Medicago truncatula: one gene and its partner. The protein of the gene in region 1 interacts with the protein of each later gene in a biochemical or structural test. Links are inferred from orthologs where the notes say so. Each region holds a gene or a part of one and is shown on either strand. Other genes may lie near its edges. The genes, in order: protein GRIP and ADP-ribosylation factor 1.

Region 1 (12,063 bases):
TGGGTGATAATGTTCCAGATTTTACATGTATATATTCAAGGAAAAGCGCAGTCAAATAATTAATTAAGTAACTCATTCTTCCATTTAAACACGTGTAATGGAGAATTCAATGCACCATCTAAATTTGCACACGTGATATGATGACTTATAATCAATCAATTGTAATAATTGCCTAACAATAAGTTACACATGATAAATCATTTTTTTTTGTACTGGCAAATGTTAGTCTTATGTTCTGGGTGGAGACCAAAAGTATGTCAGGTGTACATACTGAATGATATCACAACAAAATCAACTCTCTTGCTATTGGAGAAGAGGAAAGAGGAAGAGAGCTCCAAAACACAGTGAAATACTAATTTATACATATTGAAATTCAGAACCATACATGCTCCTGTTTTACGTGAGAAATCTCCCCCTTCACACTTTCCATGGCTGCTCTGAGCCGTGCTGCTTCCCCAGTTGATGCTGCCTCCATCTCTGCAATTTTAGATTCTTTCTCTGCAACTAGAACCTGAAGGCATTAGTCGATTGAGCATGGTCAGCCAATCAGCCGGAAACTTCTGACATGTCTAAGAACACATGCATTCATAAATAAGAAGTGTTTGGTAGCATAGATTTTTTGGATAAAATATTGGCACAATACTAGTCAACCCAGGGAAAAATATATTCTCTAATTACAATTAATATACTTTTTGCCGGTAAATGAATCCAGGGACTCTAAATTTAACATTCAGAAAGAATTTAAATGTAAGTCAGATATGCAAGTATGACAAAGCACGTTAATGGAATGTCTCCCAAATAAGGAACCTTTCAGCTCATGGAGCTCGTCCTCCAAAGTTAGATTAATTACAGGCTTAGCAAGTTTGGAAAGTATAGGCTGAACTTTACTAAATTTAAATAGACTGTTGGTTTTGGGGCTATATGCTCTGGTTATCTAGCCCTTGCAAAGCTCTATGTAAAAGTAGATACTAAAGAAGCTAAGCATGAACTGAAAAATAAAGCCACATGTGGATATTTCTTAACTTATGAAACATTATTTTCAACTTAGCAGCTTCTCCTCCCCACCTTGTTGAAACATATCATGTATGGAAAAGCTCATGATCATAAAATTCACCTGCAGTGAAGAAATGGATTCAGCTGCCTTTCTCCTATCAGATACAGCATCATTGAGTTGAGCCTCCAAACTCTCCATATTCTGCAGAAAACAAACATTGAATTGAAGCCAAGGTGAAACTATATACAAATGTCATAGTAGAGATGAAAGATCACTTTCTGATCAGTAGAATAAGGAATCTGATGAGTGATGAAAGATTACAAAATCCTCCAAAACGAGAAACTAAGAATACAGCCAGGCAAAGATGATAAAATATACACACAACACATACCTTTTGATGTTTAGCAGAGAGCTCAGCTAGTGCAGCTTGCCTTTTTTCCTCGGCAGTTCGAAGCAATCCTCTCATATCTTCCAGCATCTGAGTTGTCAAATTTTATTTTGTGATATCCAATAAACAGTGTTATATAATTACTTACAAGTGATGTACTACAAAAATAACATAAATACACAAGTTTGATGATACCGATACAAATGTAGAGAAAAGAAGTTACAAGAATTTGAAATACCACAATTTCTGCGAAAAATATCTGCTATTGTTCATAAAAACTGTTTGAATCAAGGGGAGAAAAACACAAAGCAAACACTTAAAGTTTGACAAAAATGATTTAATTCCTATAAAAATGTCTTGACTTATATAATAAGAGGATAAAAAAAAGGACTCTTATGTCGAACACCATTTTAAGGAATAGAGTACCAGTCTAAGAAAGGATGACATAGCCATAAGCTTTGGCCTGTGAGTGTGTATTGGGATATATAGAACTTAGCTTATTCTAAGTCGTTAGTTCTCTAAGATAGAGTAAGCATTTTTTTAAAAATCCATGTAGCCAATGGCCAATAGAAGAGTGAAGCGGCTGACCCCTACAGCTAGTGGTTGCTACAACCGCTACCCAAAACTGCAATGCAATGGGGTTTGGCATAACACCAAGGAGATGCTACACTACGGTCTCTATTGGCTACGCTCTAAATACAAACTTGTGGTTGGGCAGAGGCAGCAAAATAAGTTAGTTGGGTAAAACAGCAAGTGTGCACATATTCTTTAATAAAATGCAAAGCCCTAATTATTTAGTTTACAGCCATGATTAGTGTACTGACTACTGAGTCAAGTTAAAGATGCAAACATCGACAAGATACAAGACACGAGTTATAACCAGTTACCAGTAAGACGAAAGTGCTAAACACAATATACATACAGAAGATCTAAATCAAATAAACACTTCCCCCCCTATTAAAATATATGGATAATTTGTATGTACCTGTTCCTTTTCTGCAAGTGACAATTGCAATGACTCAAGAGCCTCTTCTTTAGGTTGCAATGAACGCCGTAAATCCTCAATGGTATCTCGAAGTCTGAGCAACACAGATTTTTTTAACTAATTATAATATAATTACAAATAGGATGAGTGTCTTGAATTCTCCTTTTTCCATAAATATCTAGAATTAGTTTATTTAGACACATCAAAAACATTTTGTTAGCCTAGAGGCCGATTTTAAAGCAACCTTCTAGGAATAATTCATGATCAACTTAACACAGGTTACTTTCTAATAATTCCTACATAGCCCAGTCAGTTGAAATCAGGGTTTACCAATAAAACAGAACATAGCTTATCCTGACACACCTGAAGATGCACACATTTCTAGGTAATGAATGTGTTTATTTATCAGTCATCGTGATGAAAAGTAAGTTAGTGTACTTACTTGTTGTTTGCACTTCTTAATTGTTGCCTATCACCATCCATGGCTTTCAATGCCTCATTTGCTTGTTTCCTTGTTCGCTCTAACTCTTGTTGCAATGCTGACTGTTGGGATGATGCTCGCTCAGCAGATTCATTTAACTCGGAGAATCGTGCCTCAAGATCGTCTTTTTCCTGCGGATGAAAAAATGAACTCACTTCTATATAAATATAAAGAAAATAATCCAGTTAAGTGCCTCAGTAAATTGCTTCAGGAGGTTTTGCTGAAGCACTAAATAAGAACATCCTTATTTTGTGCTTATATAAGAATTTTGTGGGCCAGGTTCATAATTATAAGCAAATAGATCATACGGATACCACAATTTCAATCACATAAGATAGCAAAGGTGAAGAGTACTCTCACTCGCACAAACTAATAATGTGGCTACACTGCCTAAGTTTAAGAGGGTGGGGGAGTTTAAGTGGCCCGCTTGATTAGAAGTTTGAGCACATGATAAGAGATTGTTCAGGTAGCATTACTTCAAGGAAATATAGACAATATCAAAATCAAAATATTAACGAGCCAGAAAAGAATATAGCAATGTTTCACCTTTTGAACTTCTTGAATGCGTTGTTTTGCCCTTTTGTGAAGCCTATTCAACTTGGCGTCAAGTTCAGAGTACTTCTCATCACGTTCTTTTATTTCATGTTCCAACTTATTTTGAGCTACACAAGAAAGTAACACAATGCATTCATTCAAAGGAAGATAAAATTTTCTAGAGCAATATTAATTTCTTCATGTCTTTATGACTTTAGCAACCACTATGCGCACAAACATAACCACACCTTCTACAAGCTGCTCAGAGAGATCTTTGGCCTTTGCTTCTGCATCTGAGTACGCAATTTGAAGGTGCTTCAAAGCTTCTTCGGATGCAATTCTGGTTTGTTTTTCTATCAGAAATTCTTTATTCAATAATTCTATCCTTTCTCGAAGTTCTTTCACAATGTCAGATTCCCCGTCTTCCGTACCACCAACTTCTTTCTGCATACTGGATTCCCTACTTACACTCTCAACATTGCTAAACCCCTCAATCTGGGATTTCAAGAATTCATTCTGAGATTTCAGGTCAACAACCATTTGCAGAAGCTCATCGTGAGTATCAGCCGAACCTTCATTTCCATCAGAGAATCGATTATCCAATACAAGATTTGTATTACTTCCATCTTTGCTTTGCTGATTCATATCAGAATCAGACAAATGCTCCTCAGGTTTTGACGAATCTTGTGCGTGAATCTCCATCATTCTACCAGTATCAGCCAGACCTTCGTTTCTATCTGACAAATGCTCCTCTGGTTTACATGAATCTTGTGCGTGAATCTCCATCGTTCCACCAGTATCAGTCGGACCTTCGTTTCCATCTAACAAATGCTCCTCGGGTTTAGACGAATCTTGTGCGCGAATCTCCACAGTTCCACCAGTATCAGCCGGACCTTCATTTCCATCAGATAAGCCATTTTCAAATACAATATTTACATCACTTTCATCCTTCCTTTGCTGGTTCATATCAGAATCAGACAAATGGTTTTCAGGTCTAGAGGAATCTTCTGCGCGTATCTCCATCTTTCCACCAGTATCACCTTCACCAGATGCCATCGACTTCTTGTTTTTTTTGGAACGCCCCATTATCAACTTCTCGTATCACACGTTTTACCAGCACAAGCTGCAATTCAACATCCAATAGCCATAAGCCTACTATGTTATACATATTGAAAATTTCAATTGAGCATGCATTCATGATAAAAATTCTTGCCATTTAAAGATCTATGAAGCACAGACACGTGTCCAATTGTCGGACACGCGTAGGTGTCACGCTGACACAAATAGTTACATTGAATTATGTGATTTTCTCAAATTATTATTGGTGTCGGCGTGCCAGTGTCCGTGTCGGTATTCGTGCTTCATAGTTAAAAATTGAAACATTTTGAGACTATGTTTGGTTCCACATTTGGAGTGGCCTGAATTAATTATGGAGGTGTAAAATTGACTCTGGCATGTTAGTTTTGCTCTCAAGTAGAATTAATTTCGCCTCCAAAATTGATTCCAACTTAAAGCTAAGATTTGTAGCTTTTAAGTCTAAATGTGATGTGATTTTCACACTTAACTTTATTATTCAACTCGCATTACATAAATGTAAACAAACATAAGCCACTTCACATTCAATTGATTCAAAATCAATTTTTATCACCACATAACCAAATATGTACTAAATCTATCGATCACAATTCAAAAACTATTTGAACGACTAATCCAAACATTAATAAATTTAAATTACTTGAAATTCAACTCCAAAATGTTGCATCCATAATAATCCATACAACTGAACCAACTTTATGAACTTTAACCATAATGTATAAACAAGTTACATAATCAGCAAAAACAAATCAAAAGCATTACTCAATTTTCACAATATCATTGCGATGTGTGATTGAATTAGAAATGAAGACGAATCTAGAAGCGTTATTGAATAGTAGAGATTCTGCAGAATTGAGTGTACCTTGTATTGCACAAGTATGAGGAGGAAGCGGGAACCGCCGGTGAAGGTGAGATCGCCGGCGCCGGTGGCAAAATGGATCTGAAGCTGCGGCGGATGTTAAGGGGAGAAAACGGTGCCGTTTAGGAATGTTCAGTCCAGTCACCGTCTCGTTACGTTTGTAGTTCGAACAATGAAAGAAAGAGGTTCGGATCCAGTTACTGAGATTGTAATAATTTGATTTCACAGGGATGTTCTAGTAATCTCGTCCTACTCAAAAAAAAATTATAAGTATAGGTTTTGTAATAATTTGTAATTATGGCAGAGTATATTCCAAGTTTTCTTTAATTTATTTTTACCTTAAGTTTTCTCTTAGGAAGTATTCATAGACTATCCAAAAGTACATAGATTCTAAATTATCTCTTTCAATGAAAGTGAGAATGCAACCGTCTTGAATATTTTGGGGAGAGATTTTTCATTAAAGAGATTTTATCAAACTAAACAGATTAATCTTTGCAGTTGCATGACGAATTTTATCTGATTCACGCTAATCAATTGCTAGTTGATCATTTTTAGTAGAGGTCTCTCCTTCTAACAATATTGTTTTCTATATACAGAGATAAATCATCTTATTTTAAAGATGAGTTTAGCTTCACTTTAACATTTTTTTAATAGGCAAATATTTGTAATTTGATGTTACATTAATATTTTCTCTTTGTCTAAAGTTTGAAACATCCAATTCATTCAACTCTTAACTCAAATTAGACAAGCTACTCAATCTTCCTACATATTGCAATCATTTTTTGAGTAATCAAGCAATTTGTTCTGCATACAAAGGATAATCTTGCACATTGTGGATCAAAATATGTGGATTTACATTATGTAAGTAGTTTTAATTTCATCCCCTTGAAATATCTCAACACTTATTTATCGAATCTCCGTTGTCCGTTGATGTTTGAAATTTAATGCTGACTTGGTCATCACCCATTATTTTTGACAAGGGGTGAAAGCTAAATTTTGTTGTGATCTTTTTTCTTTGCAGTATTTTAATGCATGTTTGGATTGACAGTGAGTTTAGTGGATTCACAATTTTGGCAAAACCTACACTTTGGAACTTAGACAAAATCACGGTGTCACCGTTATATTGTTAAACTCGCCATGATTCCAAACATGTCCTTAGCTTAGTGGTCTTTAAATCCTCCTTTCATCGAGAAAAAGAAACAAAGTTTGTTTGAAGAGCTAAATACCAGATGGGATATCTGTCACCTAAGCTCAGATGTTAGAAGGAAAAGGAAAAGGACCAAGAAGCAAGTGATAAGAGACATGTAGCATCTGCTTTAAAGTTTGTCTACAGAAATTTGCTATACTGGTGCAAGAACCTCGGCACTCAGCAGCAAAAATTGCAAGTAAAATAAATGTATTATTAATATATGAGATCCACTACATCGCTTTGAACTGATCATGATTCTAACATTAAGTACAACAACATCCTTCCTTTGAAGACAATCGATCCAAACTGAGATCTAGGCAACCAATCCACTCAAGTGTTCACTTCGATTTTGTCTGGATTTTGTTCTCCTGCAACATATTAAAATATCTAAGGCATAGAGAACAAGAAAATAATTGTAGTTAACCGCTTGTACAATGTGATAAGAACGCCAATTGAGGACCGAAAATGCGCTCATAAATTCTATTTGTAGTGGAAATTTTCTCGAATTTAAACAGGAAGATAAGACTTGAAGAAAAGAAAACTAACCACTGGACTTTTCATCTCTAAAGTTAGTAGCTACATGAGAGAAAAATTGTTTTGTAGCATCTGCCCAATCAGGAGAACAAATATTATGTGATATCATGAACAATGAAATATATTGTCAATACGATTCTGCTAGGGAAGTTTCCTAAAGAATAGATGACAATATGATAGTGCCGTAAAAACCAACAAAACAGATTCATCAGTATGTCCTACAGACCGGTATTCCAAGTGACTCAGATATGTTTCATTTTTGGTGGATTCTTATAAATAAAAAGTAAAATTAATTTCAAAATTATTTTCATAGGCAACATGTATTGGAAAAATATAAATTACTCCAATGATGGGTTAAAATGAATCCTATAGTCTATAGTTTCTGCCGCATAAAAGGAACTGCAGTGCGAGAGTAAAGCAGCCTCCTTGTATCATACAAAAGCATAATTATGTATTCCATAAGAATTTCACAACGTAAATATAATTTCCGTCAAAAACTACAAATTAGCATAGTCATCGATGATATGTCATGCTCAAAGGTTTGCTTACCATGTCTCATGGTCAAAGATGGGTCATGCTCCCGGAGACCTCCAATAACTTTAGCCGGTATTCCTGCCACAATACTTAAGACAAAGCAAACAAAAAATAAATACAAAATCATCACCTTCTAATATGAAACAAATCAGGTAGCAAGTACTAAGCATGTGTTCACAATTGAGGATCGCAGAAAATAGCAGTTTGCTCAAATTCCGCTACACAACAGTGCTATAGCACCACCACTATAGCCGCTATTTCATAATATTTTGTACTAAATAGCATATTGCATAACAATAGCATTTTGTTTCAAATTCCGTTATGAGATATCGCTTAGCACTGCTATTTAATAACATTGCCAGGCATTTTTTATAGACAATTAGATAGATATTCATTAATACCTGCGCGGAGGGGCATCTTTCAACACAAGGGAGCCAGCAGCGATCATCACACCTTCACCAATTTTTATATTTCCGAGTATAGTTGAACCAGCTCCAATCAGTGCCCCTTCACCTACTTTAGGATGGCGATCACCTGATTCCTTCCCTGTGCCTCCTAATGTCACAGCCTGCCAAATCAAACATATATGATCATCTAAAGAGCATAATGAATGCATGAGTCAAAAAGCTTTGTCAAAAAAGTTGTTTAAGTTCAATTGTAATCTAATGAACCCATTTCATAAAAGTAAAATCAGATTAGCTTTCAAAAACTGTTTCCAGGACTATTATCATTTCAATGAAGGTTTGTTAACGAATATGCAAAAATAACTAGATAAATACAATAAAAGATATTAATGAAGAAACACACTCACTTGCATCAATGAAACTCTGTTTCCAATAACAGCAGTTTCACCAATAACCACGCCTGTCCCATGATCTAATAAAATTCCCTCCCCAATTTTCGCAGCTATATAAAAAACCATAAAATGTAAAGTTCAACCGTAGTAATAATAATTAAGTGATATATAATCAATGACCAAAGAGCTTTCAATATCTTCAGTGGAGAGACAAACACCCTTCAAGACAGAACTTTATCTGTCAGTTGTCATACAAAGAATGCTGAAGTAAGGATAATCATTAATCATCAACTTGCTTCCAAGAATTAAATATTGAACCCTCAAGAATACCTTCTGCTTCAATGATACCAATCTCCGTTATTCAAAATAATAATAAATTCGCAGGCACAAAGTGAATCTATTTGCAACATTATATTGCTTCTTCGATGATAGAAATTTATTACATGTAAAATATGTCAATTTGTGCTTAATTAAGTTATTTATTATACAATCGAAAGCAAATATGATAACAACTTACCAGGGTGAATGTCAATTCCAAAAACCTGTGAAGGAAAGGACGAGGGGTTCGATTATCAGTGACAGAAACAGAAATATGAAATCCATTTGTGTCTATTGGATTTATCAAGTTTAGTCCAATAGTAAGCTACCTCGCTAACACGGCTTTGCAAAGCCAAGGCCAAGACTTTGCGTCCCTGGTGCCACAATGCATGAGCTACTCGATAAACTTGCAGAGAATGGAAACCCTGTTGCCAAAACACAACATTGAATGTCAGTCCTATGAAGCTATTATATGCATGAAAAAAGGGCATTATGAAGACGTAAACGCCAAATCCACAATAAAACATTTTGGTTGTAATCGCACGAATACAATGATATCAATGCAAATACATTGAATTGAGTACACAAGCCAGTAGCATCTGATGGTGCTGAAACTGTGAAAAAGCTAGCAGCACCCACAACTCCATGAATGTAATTAGGTTGTATAAAGAGCATAACAATTTTTCAAATCTCAAATTTCATGTAGCTTTTAGTGTAAAACAACACCTATAACACTTATGGTACTATAGCTAAATTTTGTTCTTAAAAAAATCCAATAATGATTGGAGCAATTTTACTCACTAACAAATCCTGTTGCAACAGTGAGCATCACTAAATTTGGTAGTCCTGCTCCTTATTCAGTGGTCCCTATAAATTGTACTTTTACCAAACAGTAAAAACTTTCTGAGAAGAAAAGATGCAGTATAGAAAGTGATGCTATGAATGCGGTGGGTCCCTATAAACTTGTGGTGCTAGCACTTCAAAAAAATTACTTTTTGTGAAAGCTAAAAAAATACAAAACTTTTACAAATAAGGGTATTGCAGAATTAACTTTAAAAAGTCCATTATCCCCTAATAATGGAAGCAAGAACAAAGTGCATTATCAGAAAGCAATAAGAAGTCCAAGTCAGAAAGTAAACCTTCATATACAAAATTGCTGAGCAATATGACAAACATGCAGGGTCCCTGTCTTTAAATGCCTGTTTACAAATATAAACAAGAATTAAATTATATCACCATCAGCAAACACTTTCAATCCAATATAAAATTAAATTAAAAGACTAAATTACCAATAACGTCTCGAATTCGACATATTAAAACATAAATGACACATAACGGATTTTTTTTGTTATAAAGAGTCTGGCGGCGAGACTAACACAAACTATACTTACCGTCTATACGTAACGGATTTAATCAGTGTACGAAATATGTACACGTACACGTGCATTCAATCATATCTTACCGACATAATAAGTATGTAGTAATTTCGGATAGTATTAAAACATAAACAACCCATAACGGATTATTTTAGTTAAGATGAGTCTGGCGGCGATATATAGTACAAAATATGTACACGTGCATTCAATCATCTCTTACCGGACACATTAAATATATAGTAATTTTGGGTCAATTGAAATCACCTGAACATCGAGGCGGATTGATCGCTGAATAGCTTTGTCATGCATGAAAACATTGCAGATTATATCCATCAGCTGTGTAGCCAAAAGAGTAGGACTTTGAAGACGGTTAGCAACAACAAAAGCTAGGACTTGCTCCAAACACTCATGTGCTAAAACACTTGCATACAAAAAGCTACTCAAAACTGGTTCCTTCTCTGCCTGCACCCCCAAATTCAACACAACACCCCTCAATTAATCTACTAATAACTTCACGATCAAAAAATCTTTTTCAAACACAACCAACTCAAATCAAACTAATGATGTCAATTTAGTTCTGAAAGTAACAATGGCAAAATAAATAAATATACAAAAAAAAAAAATTACTTTCAGATACTAAATTGCGAACAAAAATATAGTAATGCATGTTTGATATCACAGTGTGTTACGTAATTTTGCAAAAGTTACACGCAAATTTGCTATTTGAATGACAAAACAAAATACAAGTGTGCTATCACCATCACCGTGAGCCACTGTGATTTTGCAAAAGCTACACTGCGAAGTTTGCCTCATTTTAATAAAACAGTAAAGAAGTAAAAAAAAATATATATATATATTAACCTCATGCTTAGCTTCTTGCTTAACAGCTTCCCAAATAGGGTCAGACACGTCTAAGATGGATTCAGGATCCGGGTCAGGTAAACCCATAGCATAAACAGGAAAAACTTTTTCAAGACGGTAGGAAGAAGAGAGAGGGAAGCGTTTCTCAGAGACCATGTTGGAGAGATTAAGCCAATTGTGATGAGTCACACAAGCCATGCGAGTACTTAATAAGAAGAAGAGAAAGAGTAACTGAAGTAGTGTATGGTTTTGAGGGGGTGTAATAGTAAAACAAGTGGTAGTGTATTAGTAGTAACAACAAGTGATGATGACGATGATTCTTTGCTTTGTTTTGAGTAGTGGTGTTTTTGGCACATCATCGCAGGAAGGAACCGTTACTGTTGTTGGGAAATGGTGGTGTTTTCGGGTTACACGCACGGGGATAAGGAAAAAAGTGGAAGTACAATTATTTTAATGTTGTTGTAAAAGTGTGTGTGCATGAAAAAAAATGCAACTAGTATCGAAACAAAACAAAGTGAAACAGAAAAAGAAGCATGTTGGATGGTTAAGAATGAAATAGCCTTTGTTGGGTGGGTGATTGCTTTGCCCTTTTTCCAATTTGAGCCGTTCAATCAAATCAAAAGCTTCACGCCTTTTTCTTTTACTTATTTTATTTTTCTTAAAACCCTAATAATCTTTTTTTTGAAAGAAAAACCCTAATAATCTAAAGTTTGGTTCAAATGGAAATAAGGTTTGAGAAATAATTGTTTCATTGGAAGATAGAATTAGTGGAGAACTGTAAGATTTTGTTGACTAATGTTTCTTTGAAGTTTGAAGCATAATCCGAAAGACATGTGAAAATGAAACCATAATTTTGACGGCAGATTACACAGTTATAGAAGATTACCGTTGATTTTCAATGTAGATTTTATATCATATCCGTCGTTGTTTAACGCTACATGGAATAGATTGTTAACAACAGAGATATCATTGTTTGTGTGAGTGGTTGTTAAATGATCGCCTATCAACGAAAGATATTTTTCTTCGATGTGGGATTCATAATATTGAATCTCCCTTTTTTGTGAGGGAGTTGCAATATGAATGAAACATCTCATCGTATATATTTTTAGTATCATTTCT
Region 2 (11,609 bases), on another chromosome or scaffold:
TATCCCCCTAGTGAAAATATGAGCATCCAACAACTATGAATCAAATTCTGACCTGTTTGTTTGCAAAAATGAGAACAACTGCACCTTTTAGTTCTTCTTCCTGAAAAAAAGGTTCAGAGAAAATAATTAGTGTTAATTTTGTTATTTGTAAAACTGAAATCACAATCACATCAGACAACAAAACCATAGTCAAAGGAGAAACGGATAAAAATCAATTAGGCATCAAATTTTAACACACACACACACATAAATTAAAAAATGCACTAGATTATAATGACTCAAGAAATGAAATTGACAAGTAGGCACATGCATATTTATTAATCAAATTTCAGATTCATGAAAACACCTCCACAATAAAATTACAATTGCTAAGGATTTGTTTTTTTTGAGAAAACATTATTTCAGTTTATTTTATTGATAAATACAAAATGTCACCATAGTTTTAATTTGTTCCCGACTATCAAGGAGTGCATGAAATGATGAAAACGCAAAAATGTAGTCACCATTTTGTAAACAAATCCTCTAAAACAGTAAATACAATTACAACGAAGTAGCATTTTTGTAATTACCAGTAAAAATAAGGAATAGAAAATAAAAAATTACTTTTTAAACAAAACAGGCCCCTAAACATTCAAAACAAGGATCAAAACCTATTCCAACTAGGATGAATCAAACACCAGAACTAGATTCAGTCAAAAACTAATTCCTCTTAGCTTAGGAGACGCCTATAATCACAAATAACACCTACATCATCCTTCTATAGTCCTCTTTCAAAATGTTCAAGCTTCACGTAATCAATATACTTTAGAAATACAACTTAGAGCCACCAATCCCTTGTAAATTGTAATATAGGCTACAAGAGAATTTTAAGAGGAACAAACTGAATTCTTGCGCCAAAGGTCTAGATGAAGTGTGTGTGTGTGTGTGTGTGGGTGTGTGTTGTATCAGGAACATATACCTCCAGAATTGCATGGAACTCCTCCCTAGCTATCACAAGCCTATCAGTGTCACTTGAATCAACAACATAGATTATTGCTTGAGTATTTGGAAAGTAACACCTCCAATATGGCCTATGGACAAAAAAATAATCAAAGACAGTAAAAGGTTATAGAAATTTACTACATAGTTATTAGGGATGAATTTAGTTTCCCATCTTGTGGTTTGGTCCACCTGGTTTTCAATTTTCCCGTGATTTGTTCTTTTAATCATTCTAGTGCCATATATTTTTTTTTCCCACATTTACAAGTGAAATGGCATGTCAGAACTGAGAAGTAATGTATGCGATCTTTTCTGGGTGTTGAAATATTTTTTGAAATGACATATTTTTGTGCTGCGCATGCTTATACATGCAGTTTTGTTTAAACTGGACAGAAACAAGTATATGATAGCAAAACGATCCTTAAAGGAAATGTAAAAAAAACTCAAATTATAGGGGGACACATCGGAAACGAGCAAGACTGCTTGGGTCTAACACTATAAATAAATTAATACAAGAGAAATTCATCTTTGAATCCATAAGGCATTTCTTTCCACAACATGAGCTACCGTAGTTTCAAAAATGAATAAGATTGTGTTATGTGTTTGATAATATCTAAGCAAGAGTGAGTGACTTAGGTTATTTGTTGGACCGAGATGGTCAGAAGAAATAAGGTATGTTGCCTATAAACAAAAGGAGGGGTTGAAAGAGAGAACCCCTTGTCATTTTGGGAGAGAATTAGGAACTTTAGCAATACAGAGGTGCAGACCCTCCAAGTTCTGTGGCATCTTTCTGTTGTTGGGGGAGTCTTTTTTTTCCCCTAATAAAATACCAGGTTTCTTAACAGATTAAACAGCATATTGAAACTTCTCATTATATTTGGTCCTTAACCTACAATATCGTGCATGATATTGTCATTATGCATTGTTTTTCTTCAATTACGTTTTATTCTTTTAGATTTTAGGCATGTATATTTATATTATTGAAACCTACACACACACACATACTCACACTAATTAACTGCAGAAGGATTGGTATCTTCTTACTAGAAATACACACATCAAGGACTTTATAGTAGGTTCATTTACAGCTAAACAGAAATATGGAAGAGTTAAAGGATTAGAAAAAAAAGGAATTGCATGATGAGTGGAGTAGTCGCAATTGATTTAGATCATAATATTGAATAAGGGATAGAAAAAAATTCTATTGGTATGACATTGTAACACATCAGAAGTCACCAGCTATTGTTGTTATAGTAAATTTTTTTAAAAAAAATACACATTTTCCATCAGTCAAAAGATGCAAGAATGAAACCATAAGGCTTACCTGATACTTGTTTGCCCACCTGTATAAAAAAAAGTTGGATATTAGAAATTGAAACAAGCCAGGGCTTATTATAATAGCACTATGTTATATCATATTAAGTTTCATGTAACTATAAGCTCAACTGACTGTAAGTAATAAACTATATTTTAAGGTTTGATGCCTGTTTATTTTCTTTCATTCATACTAAGAAAATAGTTTGACAAAGGAAAATATAATAAATGTTGTCAAAGGTTTCAGCTTATTTTTATCTTCGCTTGCACTACATCAAAACTTAATACTGCATATAGATAAAAAAACAACTACCAGCCAGAAGAGGACAAAATTATCCAAACTCGCTTTGTTTCGTGTTTCACTTATCACTACAGTACCCAAAAATGAGACCAGCAAACTTTAAGTTTAAAACACGAGCCCATGTATGCTTGCTAGTATTTAACATGAGACAGAAATGTCACGACAGTTGACAGAGTCCTGCGTGTAGGGTTGGAGGTAAGTCAAGCCAGGTTCACAAGTTAATTCAAAATTTCGAGTACAGGATTTTAGTGAGGAACAACAGTGGTTGTTGTATAGGATTTGAGCCTGGCTCATCAAGCTCAAGCAACTTGTTGTGAGCAAGTTATCCGAGCTTCAGAAGAAAAAAATAGGCTAACTTTCTTAATAAGTACTGCTTGTTCATGTTTAAGCCAAACCCGAGCAACACCTTTAGTGGGCAATTTTTGTAGGTAGTTATTGTGTCCTGCGTTTTAGTCCAATTTCCATCCGCTGGTTCATTCCTACCTCTAAGATAAAAGGCCTTAGATTGTCTGGGAAAAACTAATAAAACTTAACTTGGTGTGACATCAAACTCTGTTTTGTTTGCAACCCACAAGTCATTAAGATATGTAAGTCGCCTACTTTATAAAGGGATGGAAATTGGACTAAAACGCAGGACACAATAACTACCTACAAAAATTGCCCACTAAAGGTAGAGTTTTTACCACTAAACATGTAAGGACATGGGTAATTTACCACACTATGGTCATCTATTGTGTTTAATAATTAGGATTTGCAAGACCTTTTAAAAAATCGTTATCTATTATGTTTGATAATTAGGATTTGCAAGACCTTTTGGAAAATTTCACATCGAGTTAGATATTACATTTTTTATAAATAATTTCTCTATTGCTGGTTTTTTACATGTTTAAATTTTAATATAGTGCTTTTGTTTTACAACTTAGAAATAAAATAAAGGGAAAACATATTTCATTGTTTGTTTGTTAAACGTAGTTAGCTCGTACATGCACATGTGCGAATGTACCTTACTCTTTGTTATCCCTATACTAAATTATGATCAAAAGATGCAAAATTGTAAATATAGCATGGTAATCTCAACAATGAAAGATCACATGGTCATCTCTATGACTCTGTAGTCGGTTTCAAATATGTTTAACAGCATGTACACCATAAAACATACATAAAATACAAAAAGAATTCATGTGAACCAAGCAAATTAATTAAAATGATTACCTAAATCCCAGACTTGAAATTTAATGTTGTTATACTGCACAGTTTCAACATTAAACCCGATCGCTGTATCAAATAATCAAATAAACCAATCAGACATCCATCCATACATGCAAGTATAAAAAATAAATAAGATACCCATGCTGTAACATTTTGTTTGAACAAAATAGCATTGCTAATAACTAGAATTGAAAATCTAAAACTAAAAAATTCAGCAAAATGAAGATTCAAAACAATGCAAAACGAGATCGAGTACGAACTTGGAATGGTAGAGACAACTTCCCCCATCTGAAGCCGATCTGAAAAAAAAAATGAAAGAAATTAATAATAAAAATAGCGAATTGAATGAGTAAGATGCAGAGAGTATGAAGAAGCATACAGAGAATGGTGGTTTTTCCGGCATTGTCGAGACCGAGAACGAGAATTCGAGCTTCCTTGTTACCGAAAACAGATGAAAACAGTCTAGTAAATACTAATCCCATCTTCCGATTCGGCGGCAGAGGGATTACGATTAGAACATGAATGAATCAGGTGCAAACGATTCGGATTGAGAATTCTTCGATTATTCTGAAATCGGATCGGATCTCAGAGCAGAAGCAGCGAGAGGAAGTGCATGCGATGCGATTCAAGGATTAAGGTTAGGTTTCGGAAAATAGAAGAATCGAATGGAAGAGGGAAGGACGAAACGATGATGAGAATCAGGATTTGGATTTGGATTCACTCACCCTCTTCTCCTCCACCTTTCAGTTATGGGATCTATTGTTACTTGTTTTCGAAAATTCCTTTTAGACTACAGTATTTGCTAAACTGACAAAAATACCCTCGACCGCTAGAAACTCATGTTTGCTTGTCTATTGTACTTGATTGTCATTGTCCCAACGATAGTTAACGTTGAAATACGTATTTGACTGTCGTTGTCCCAACGGTAGTTAACGTCGAAACATGTGACTTTTGTCGTCTCAACGATAGTTAACGCCGAAACACGTTTCAAGCAAGAACACGTACAAACAACTGTTTAAAGACCACTTAATACGTTTGTAAACAAGACCGACAACAAAGTGATTTGTGATTTTAAACAAGCCCTCATTTCTTTTTAGGTTTTGGATTGAATTCAACCTTTATGAATATCTTCGATTGATCTAACCAATGATGTGTCCAACTCCATCGATTTTATAGTACTGTACTGACCAAATATTTAGATCATGGTTCTCACGTCGACAGTTTTTAAGCTTCATATGGATGAACTGGACGTTTCCATCTAAGTTAGTTGATGAACGACGATACTCAACGATGTCCACCGTTCGTGTCTTTGCGGTTGAATTGACAGTTGATTTGGTATAGTTGATCCTTCAACCCTGAAAATGTGACATCAACTCAAACCCTGAACAAACTGAATTTTCCCCCGCTGTAGTGTTTGGGGTTCTTTTTTGTGTTTTGCAATAGATGAACCAAACACATCGATTAATAAAAGTTTAGACTAAAATGAGCTTTTGACCCCTTCAACTTCCCAAAACCATCGATTTTGGCCCATACTTTTAGCCCTCCATCTTTCATCTCATTTGTAAAAAGTGGCCCTCCTTAATATTGACCTGGTCAAAGCCAATGAGTGGTCGTTTTTTACAATATTAGTATGTGTTTAGAGTTTTTATTTTTCTGAAATTATTTGTCATTTTAAATTTTTGTTTTTGATGAAATATCATTTTAAAAATTAATTCAACATTTATTACATTTTATCGATGTTAAATTTTTTTTAAGGACAATGTTAATTTTATTTATTAAATTAGTTGCAAATATATGATGTATGATGGATAAATGATAAGTGAAAAACACCAAAAAAAAAAATTACTAAATGAAATATAATTTTTTTTGATATATTATTTTATATTGAAATTGATATGATTAATCTTTTTATTAACAGGAATGTACAATTCAATTTTATTTTTTTCAATTAAGTTAGTGGTTAAAGATTGATAAATAGGGAGTTCTAAATGTGTATATACACCTTCCCTAAAAAAAAAAAAAAAAAAAAAAAATTATTATTATAGAAAGACCAGAAAAGCTCTCCACCAAACTCAGTTGAAGATAAATTCTAATTTTCAAGGTTTTGCTACTCGAGTATAAATTGATTTTATGTGACGGCAAGAGATGTAATGTTAAATGAATTAGAAGGAAATCAGTGATTCACACAGGAACATTAATAGAAGCTGAAAAAGTACCATATAAACAAAATTTCTTCCGCATAGTGTGGATTAATGCTTTGACAGAACTATTTATTGAGAAAGAAAGGATCTTCAATTGAGCACTAAACAAGTAGAAAACTTGAGATGTATCATGAATGTTTTGAAATTATTATCATTACCTCAGTTGGATCAACCTCTCCTTGGCTAGCATCTTTGGTCCGTGCATTTGGAAGGGGATGCTCACTCTGAGTCATAATACTACCTTGCTTATCAACTGAAAAATGACAAGTTGATTAGAAACTGCAAGACCTGACTTATGATTTTAATGCTTGAATTTTTAATAAGAGTCATCAACTTATCATATTGATCCTAAGTAATGCTAGGCGAAGCTGCTTTGATGTGACGATGTGATTCTGTGAAGTTGAATTTCATTGAATTCACCCCCATCAGCTGCTGATACATTGTGAACAGAAGAATTGGAATTTCTCTGCACGTAAGGACGAAATCCATGCTTCCTATAGCATACTTCAACAGTGTGTCCTGATGTGTTGCAAAGGGTGCAAAATCTTGCACCATTTTAGAGCAAGAACCAGTTAATAGGAAGATGATTTGTTATATTTGGAGTGAAGTTTCCTGTAGTCAACAACATTAATCAATACTTTGGAATCATCGAGAGGGAGCAAGATTATTCTGTCTTTCATGTTGAATGACCATAGAAAGTATTTTTTTCATAGAGGGTAGAGGATCTAACAATAGAATCTTTCAATTAGTGGATATTTCTCGGTTTAACTAAAGAGATATTATATGCAAGCAAAAAATTATTCTCCAATTCTTTCAGAGACAAATACTTAAATTTTGTGTATAATGCTCCATCAACAATTTTCAAATTCAAACACGGAATATTCTCTTTCATAAATCCTTTAGCTATAAGCTCTTTTGAAAGAAACAAAAATCTAACAAACTCTTCATCCTTCTAATACAGCTATAAACAGAGAGGATACTATAGGGGCATCAAACTGTAAACCAAGTATATTCAAATAAATTAATTATGGTGAATGGTGAAAAATTGTTTAGATAGTTCAAAAACCAGGTAGAAATAGAGACTACATATGGTGGCTGCCTTGACATCTTGTGACATAGAGGGTCAATGGGTATTTGGGTAGCACTCCCATCAGTACCAGCGCCTAAATTCAAAGACAACATCCTATTTTTTGAGTAAATCACATTTTGTGCATTTCATTCAATGTTAATTGTTAGGGAGAAAAAAAGAAAAGAAAAATACATAAACGGACCTTATACTATGATGTGACGCTTTATATACTAATCTCAGTGTCACATAAAAGTTAATTGTTTACCTTTTAAAAAAAGATTATTCAGTGGGAAAAAAAAAATTCAGATAAAGAATTCATCCAATATATGTAGTATGGAAAAATAAAAGTGGAAAAAGGCTTGCAAGAGAGTTGAAAGATATACCTTCACCTGTATTAACCATAAAATAAAGCTACCGTAAAAAGAAAAAAAAAATGACAAATAAAAAAGAGTACAGTAATTAGAATTCATGTAACTTCAATAGTAGTATTAGTATATGTCATGCTCCTTCTTAGTCAACATAAAAATAGAGCATTCATTTCTTGATGCCTGAAATAACCATGTTCACTTTTTTTTTATTTTTTAATCAGCTTATATATATTCCACCAAAATCATACAAGATGGGGAGAAAGGAGGAAAAGCAAAAAACAAAGGGCCACTTGATAGTTGAAAAGGGGAGATAAAATGGATAAGAATTAGCTTTTGAAATAATTAGTGATGTTGTTGGCTATTGGAACAAAACTACAAGAGTGATTTGGATATAATGTGTTTTGGCTCTCGTAAATACGCCAAATCCATCCCTGAAGCATAATTCAACATTCATACGATGATATTTGCTAGAGATTAAAGTATAAATATTGTACTTCACAAAACTCATTTGGTTTAAACTAAGGAAGAGATCGTTAAAACCACATTTTTCTAGCTCATAATTGTGGACGAATTCTCCTGAAGTTTGTTCTAGATCTTCTTCTTCTTCTTCTTCTGCAAAAAGACAAAATCAGAGTACAAAACATCACACGGTGGATACATATAGAATAATGTAAAAAGGGAGCAAGGCTTTATCCCCTAGAACATAACATGTCCTTTCGTCCCTGTTTAGAAGTATACTCCAAAAATATGTGAATCGTTGTAGAATTCAGATGGTGAAATACACTCACTCAATAACAAATGATGTTTGATTTATGTGTGCACAAGTAAATAAGTCACATTGTGCATAAATATATTTTTATCATTATATCAATCAATAAGTCACATTTGATCAGAGACAGACTCAGAAGTTTCCAGTAGTGACGGCAATATATATATAATTAAAAAGCATTAAATGTATTTTTTTTTTTAGAGAATTAAATGTATTTCTTACAAAACATAAATATACATCATAGTTGGTTGTTGTGTGCAATTTTTCATATTTTAAAAACATTAAATATTTTCTAATTTTAAATTTCATTAAAAAACTTTTTATATAAAATTAAATAAACAATCATTTAATCATTCATCTCTCTTGCAATTTCGCATTCAATTCTTGATAATATTCATAGTAGAGAAAACTCTATCAACAATTGCGCTTGCCAAATATTGAAGCAACATGTTTTGAAGCAACTCTTAAATCAAATATATCGACAAGTACGCAACATGTTTTTTTTTTCCCGTCTATACTATAACCTACTACAAAGATGGTCAAAATATGTATATTTGTGTGTGCGCGTGCGAGCGCGATATTACAAAGATCATTTCAGTTGAGCATGTATCTTACTAATGATATTTATTTTTATTTTATTTTTTGCAAATAAAAATGAGGGTCAAGGCCCACTATGTGTTCAACATCGGCCGTTAGAAAATTGCTCTTCTCCCAAATATTTTTGCTCATTCCCACCAAAACTACCGAAAAAAATAACTTCAACGTGAGTTAACTCACGTTCGATATAACAAACATGCGTTAATATACATTGCTCCGACATAAGTGAAATCACGTTCAGAACACCGGTGTGAGTTAACTCACATTAGTAACATTTTTGCTTTTTCAAATAATGTACAATACAAATGGGAAACAAACTGCTGTTTTTCTCGACTATGATGGAACTTTCTCTCCAATTGTAGCAGATCCAGATAAAGCCTACATGAGCAAAAAGGTTGATCTTTTGTTCACTAACGTTTGATTCTGAATTCATTTTATAAAATTGATAGAATGTAACTTTTTTTTTTTTATTGAATTATATGAGAGTGACATTGAAGGACCTAGCAAGACATTTTCCCATGGCCTTTGTTAGTGGAAGATGGTTAGACAAGGTACATTTTTTTAATCCCCATGAGCTTAGTTCAGTTCGTAGGGATATTGCATATTATATACAGGAGCTGGGATTCGAACCCCGGACACTCCACTTCTCCACAATTAAATTGTGTGAGCTCTAGCCACTAGGCTACTTGACCAAAAAAAAAGTACATTTTTTTAATCAAATAATCTCATCATTTTAGTATATTTTTTTAAAAAATAAAATTATTTTGTATATAATTAATTTGGATTTTCTTTATAATTTTGTTTTGTAGCTATTTAGCTTTGTTGGCTGAACTATACTGGAAGCCATGGGATGGATATCAAGGGACCAACAAATAGGAGAAGCAATAAAAAAGTGAGAAATAATTTCTCTATCCAAATTATTGCGACGGAGATTATTATATTTTGTTTTTTTTTTTTTTAACAAAAAAGAAATCTATTATTATTTCAGGGTAATAATGATGGGGGTACTTTTGCAGTCTGCTAGTGAATTCTTGCCAATTATCAATGAGGTTCGTAGCTTTTAATTAATTATTATTACCACCAAATTGAATCTGCATTCCCATAGTCAAGATGTGTGGCAATGGAAAAATGACTGAAAGAGCAAAAAAAGTTACCAACGTGACTTAATTTACGTTGGTGTTTTGAACGTGATTTAACTCATGTTGGAGCAGTTAATGCACGTTGGTTATACTATGGTTTCAATCAACAAAAAAATTAATATTATTGTGGTTGTCATTCAGGGACAGACCCAGAAGTTTCGACTAGTGAAGGCAATATACATATAATTAAGAAGTATTAAATGAATTTTTTTAAAAACATAAATAAACATCATAGTTGTTGTGTGCAATTTCTCATATTTTAAAAACATTAAATGATTTTCTAATTTTCAATTTCTTTAAAAACCTTTTCATATAAAATTAAATAAACAATCATTTAATCATTTATCTCTCTTGTGATTTCGCATTCAATTCTTGATGATATTCATAGCAGAGAAAACCTATCAAGAATTGCAGTTGCCGCATATATTATTGAAGCAACTCTTAAATCAAATATATCTACGAGTACACATGTTTTCTCGGTGCGTGCGTGCGCGTGTGATATTACAAAAATCATTTTTTTGATGAGCTTGTATAATACAAAGACTATCACTTTTTTCACCCTGCCTGCTTCTCGTGCACCCTGCAAAAAAATTGAAAATACCCTTTGGTCTGGATTATGTAATCCGAACCAGATTGTTAGAGATTTCTGGAACACAAAATCTCGATACATTTGAAATATGATTTTTGGTGTTTTCTTTGATGTCAAATGTCTTTGTTGACCGTTATATAAGTCCTATGTCATAAGTACAGACAATGAAAGCGTGTTTGTCATTCAAAACCGTTCAAAAAACGCATTAAAACTCCATTAACCGGCCAAACCTTTGGTGAAACGCACTATCAAAAAATAATTGAGGGTGTCCAGATTATATAATCCAAACTGTACCAGAATGTCTATTTGGGAGATCATCAAACTTATTTATGATCCTAGGGCGCCACATGTCACCTATTTGAACTTTCCATCTTCATCCATATTGCAATTTCTGATTTTCATCATCATTACACCTTTCTTCACAAGATTTCCAAGATTTTATGTCTCCAAAGACAATTAATTATCCACTATCTCAAGGCATTTTTGCTTCTTTCCATGATAGTTGCTTCTCTCCACTATCTCAAGTCACATTCACCATTATAAAATGTCTTGTTACCTTCTTGCTCTCCACCAAATCCTGACTTTCTTTCCTTTGCATCTTCCCTTCTCCCGCAAGACAACAATAAACTCCTTCACGCCATGGAAATTGTAACACCCCGTTTTCCCAACATAAAAATTTCATAAAAATAATCAGAGTTTTCCACATAAACGGAATGCTACACTTCTTTTCTTAAAAATCATAAACGGAATAATTAACTAATTATCCATCAAATTTCAATAACAAAATATTCAATGCTTTGCAGCGGAATTTATTTCAACATCTCATAAAATCCAATCTAAAACATAGTCATGTAAAATCATAAGCAATACGTAAGGAATAGAAAAGCATGCAACAAAGTCTCATCCCGTTACGTATCAGAGCACCTAAAGACACACGTGAGAGATAGTCCACTCACGACAGCAATCTAACAGCAGCCTAAACTCGATCACCTGCAAGTTACTCATACGAAGAGCAACATTTCCAAGTAGAATGGGTGAGATTTCACATTCAATAATAATAAGCATATAATTCATC

What was found.
Region 2: the proteins of protein GRIP (region 1) and ADP-ribosylation factor 1 form a complex in vitro, tested with the Arabidopsis thaliana proteins (2 studies listed by BioGRID). The link is inferred for Medicago truncatula from reciprocal best matches to the Arabidopsis thaliana genes ATGRIP and ARF3.

Annotation. Positions count from the first base shown.
Region 1 is NC_053046.1:9,462,114-9,474,176, reverse strand, and holds the start of protein GRIP, read right to left. Parts: upstream 5,575-12,063; 5' UTR 5,340-5,574; intron 4,506-5,339; 5' UTR 4,469-4,505; coding exon 3,631-4,468; intron 3,511-3,630; coding exon 3,395-3,510; intron 2,980-3,394; coding exon 2,810-2,979; intron 2,462-2,809; coding exon 2,368-2,461; intron 1,473-2,367; coding exon 1,386-1,472; intron 1,196-1,385; coding exon 1,115-1,195; intron 512-1,114; coding exon 386-511; intron 1-385. Other genes in the region: serine acetyltransferase 2, read right to left, coding at 6,856-6,893, 7,072-7,131, 7,609-7,682, 7,995-8,161, 8,405-8,499, 8,907-8,931, 9,037-9,132, 9,847-9,906 and 2 more. UniProt on the Arabidopsis thaliana protein: Golgi matrix protein playing a role in tethering of vesicles to Golgi membranes and in maintaining the overall structure of the Golgi apparatus.
Region 2 is NC_053045.1:61,802,151-61,813,759, reverse strand, and holds the start of ADP-ribosylation factor 1, read right to left. Parts: upstream 4,572-11,609; 5' UTR 4,285-4,571; coding exon 4,182-4,284; intron 4,102-4,181; coding exon 4,063-4,101; intron 3,869-4,062; coding exon 3,806-3,868; intron 2,322-3,805; coding exon 2,303-2,321; intron 1,071-2,302; coding exon 959-1,070; intron 101-958; coding exon 53-100; intron 1-52. UniProt on the Arabidopsis thaliana protein: GTP-binding protein involved in protein trafficking; may modulate vesicle budding and uncoating within the Golgi apparatus.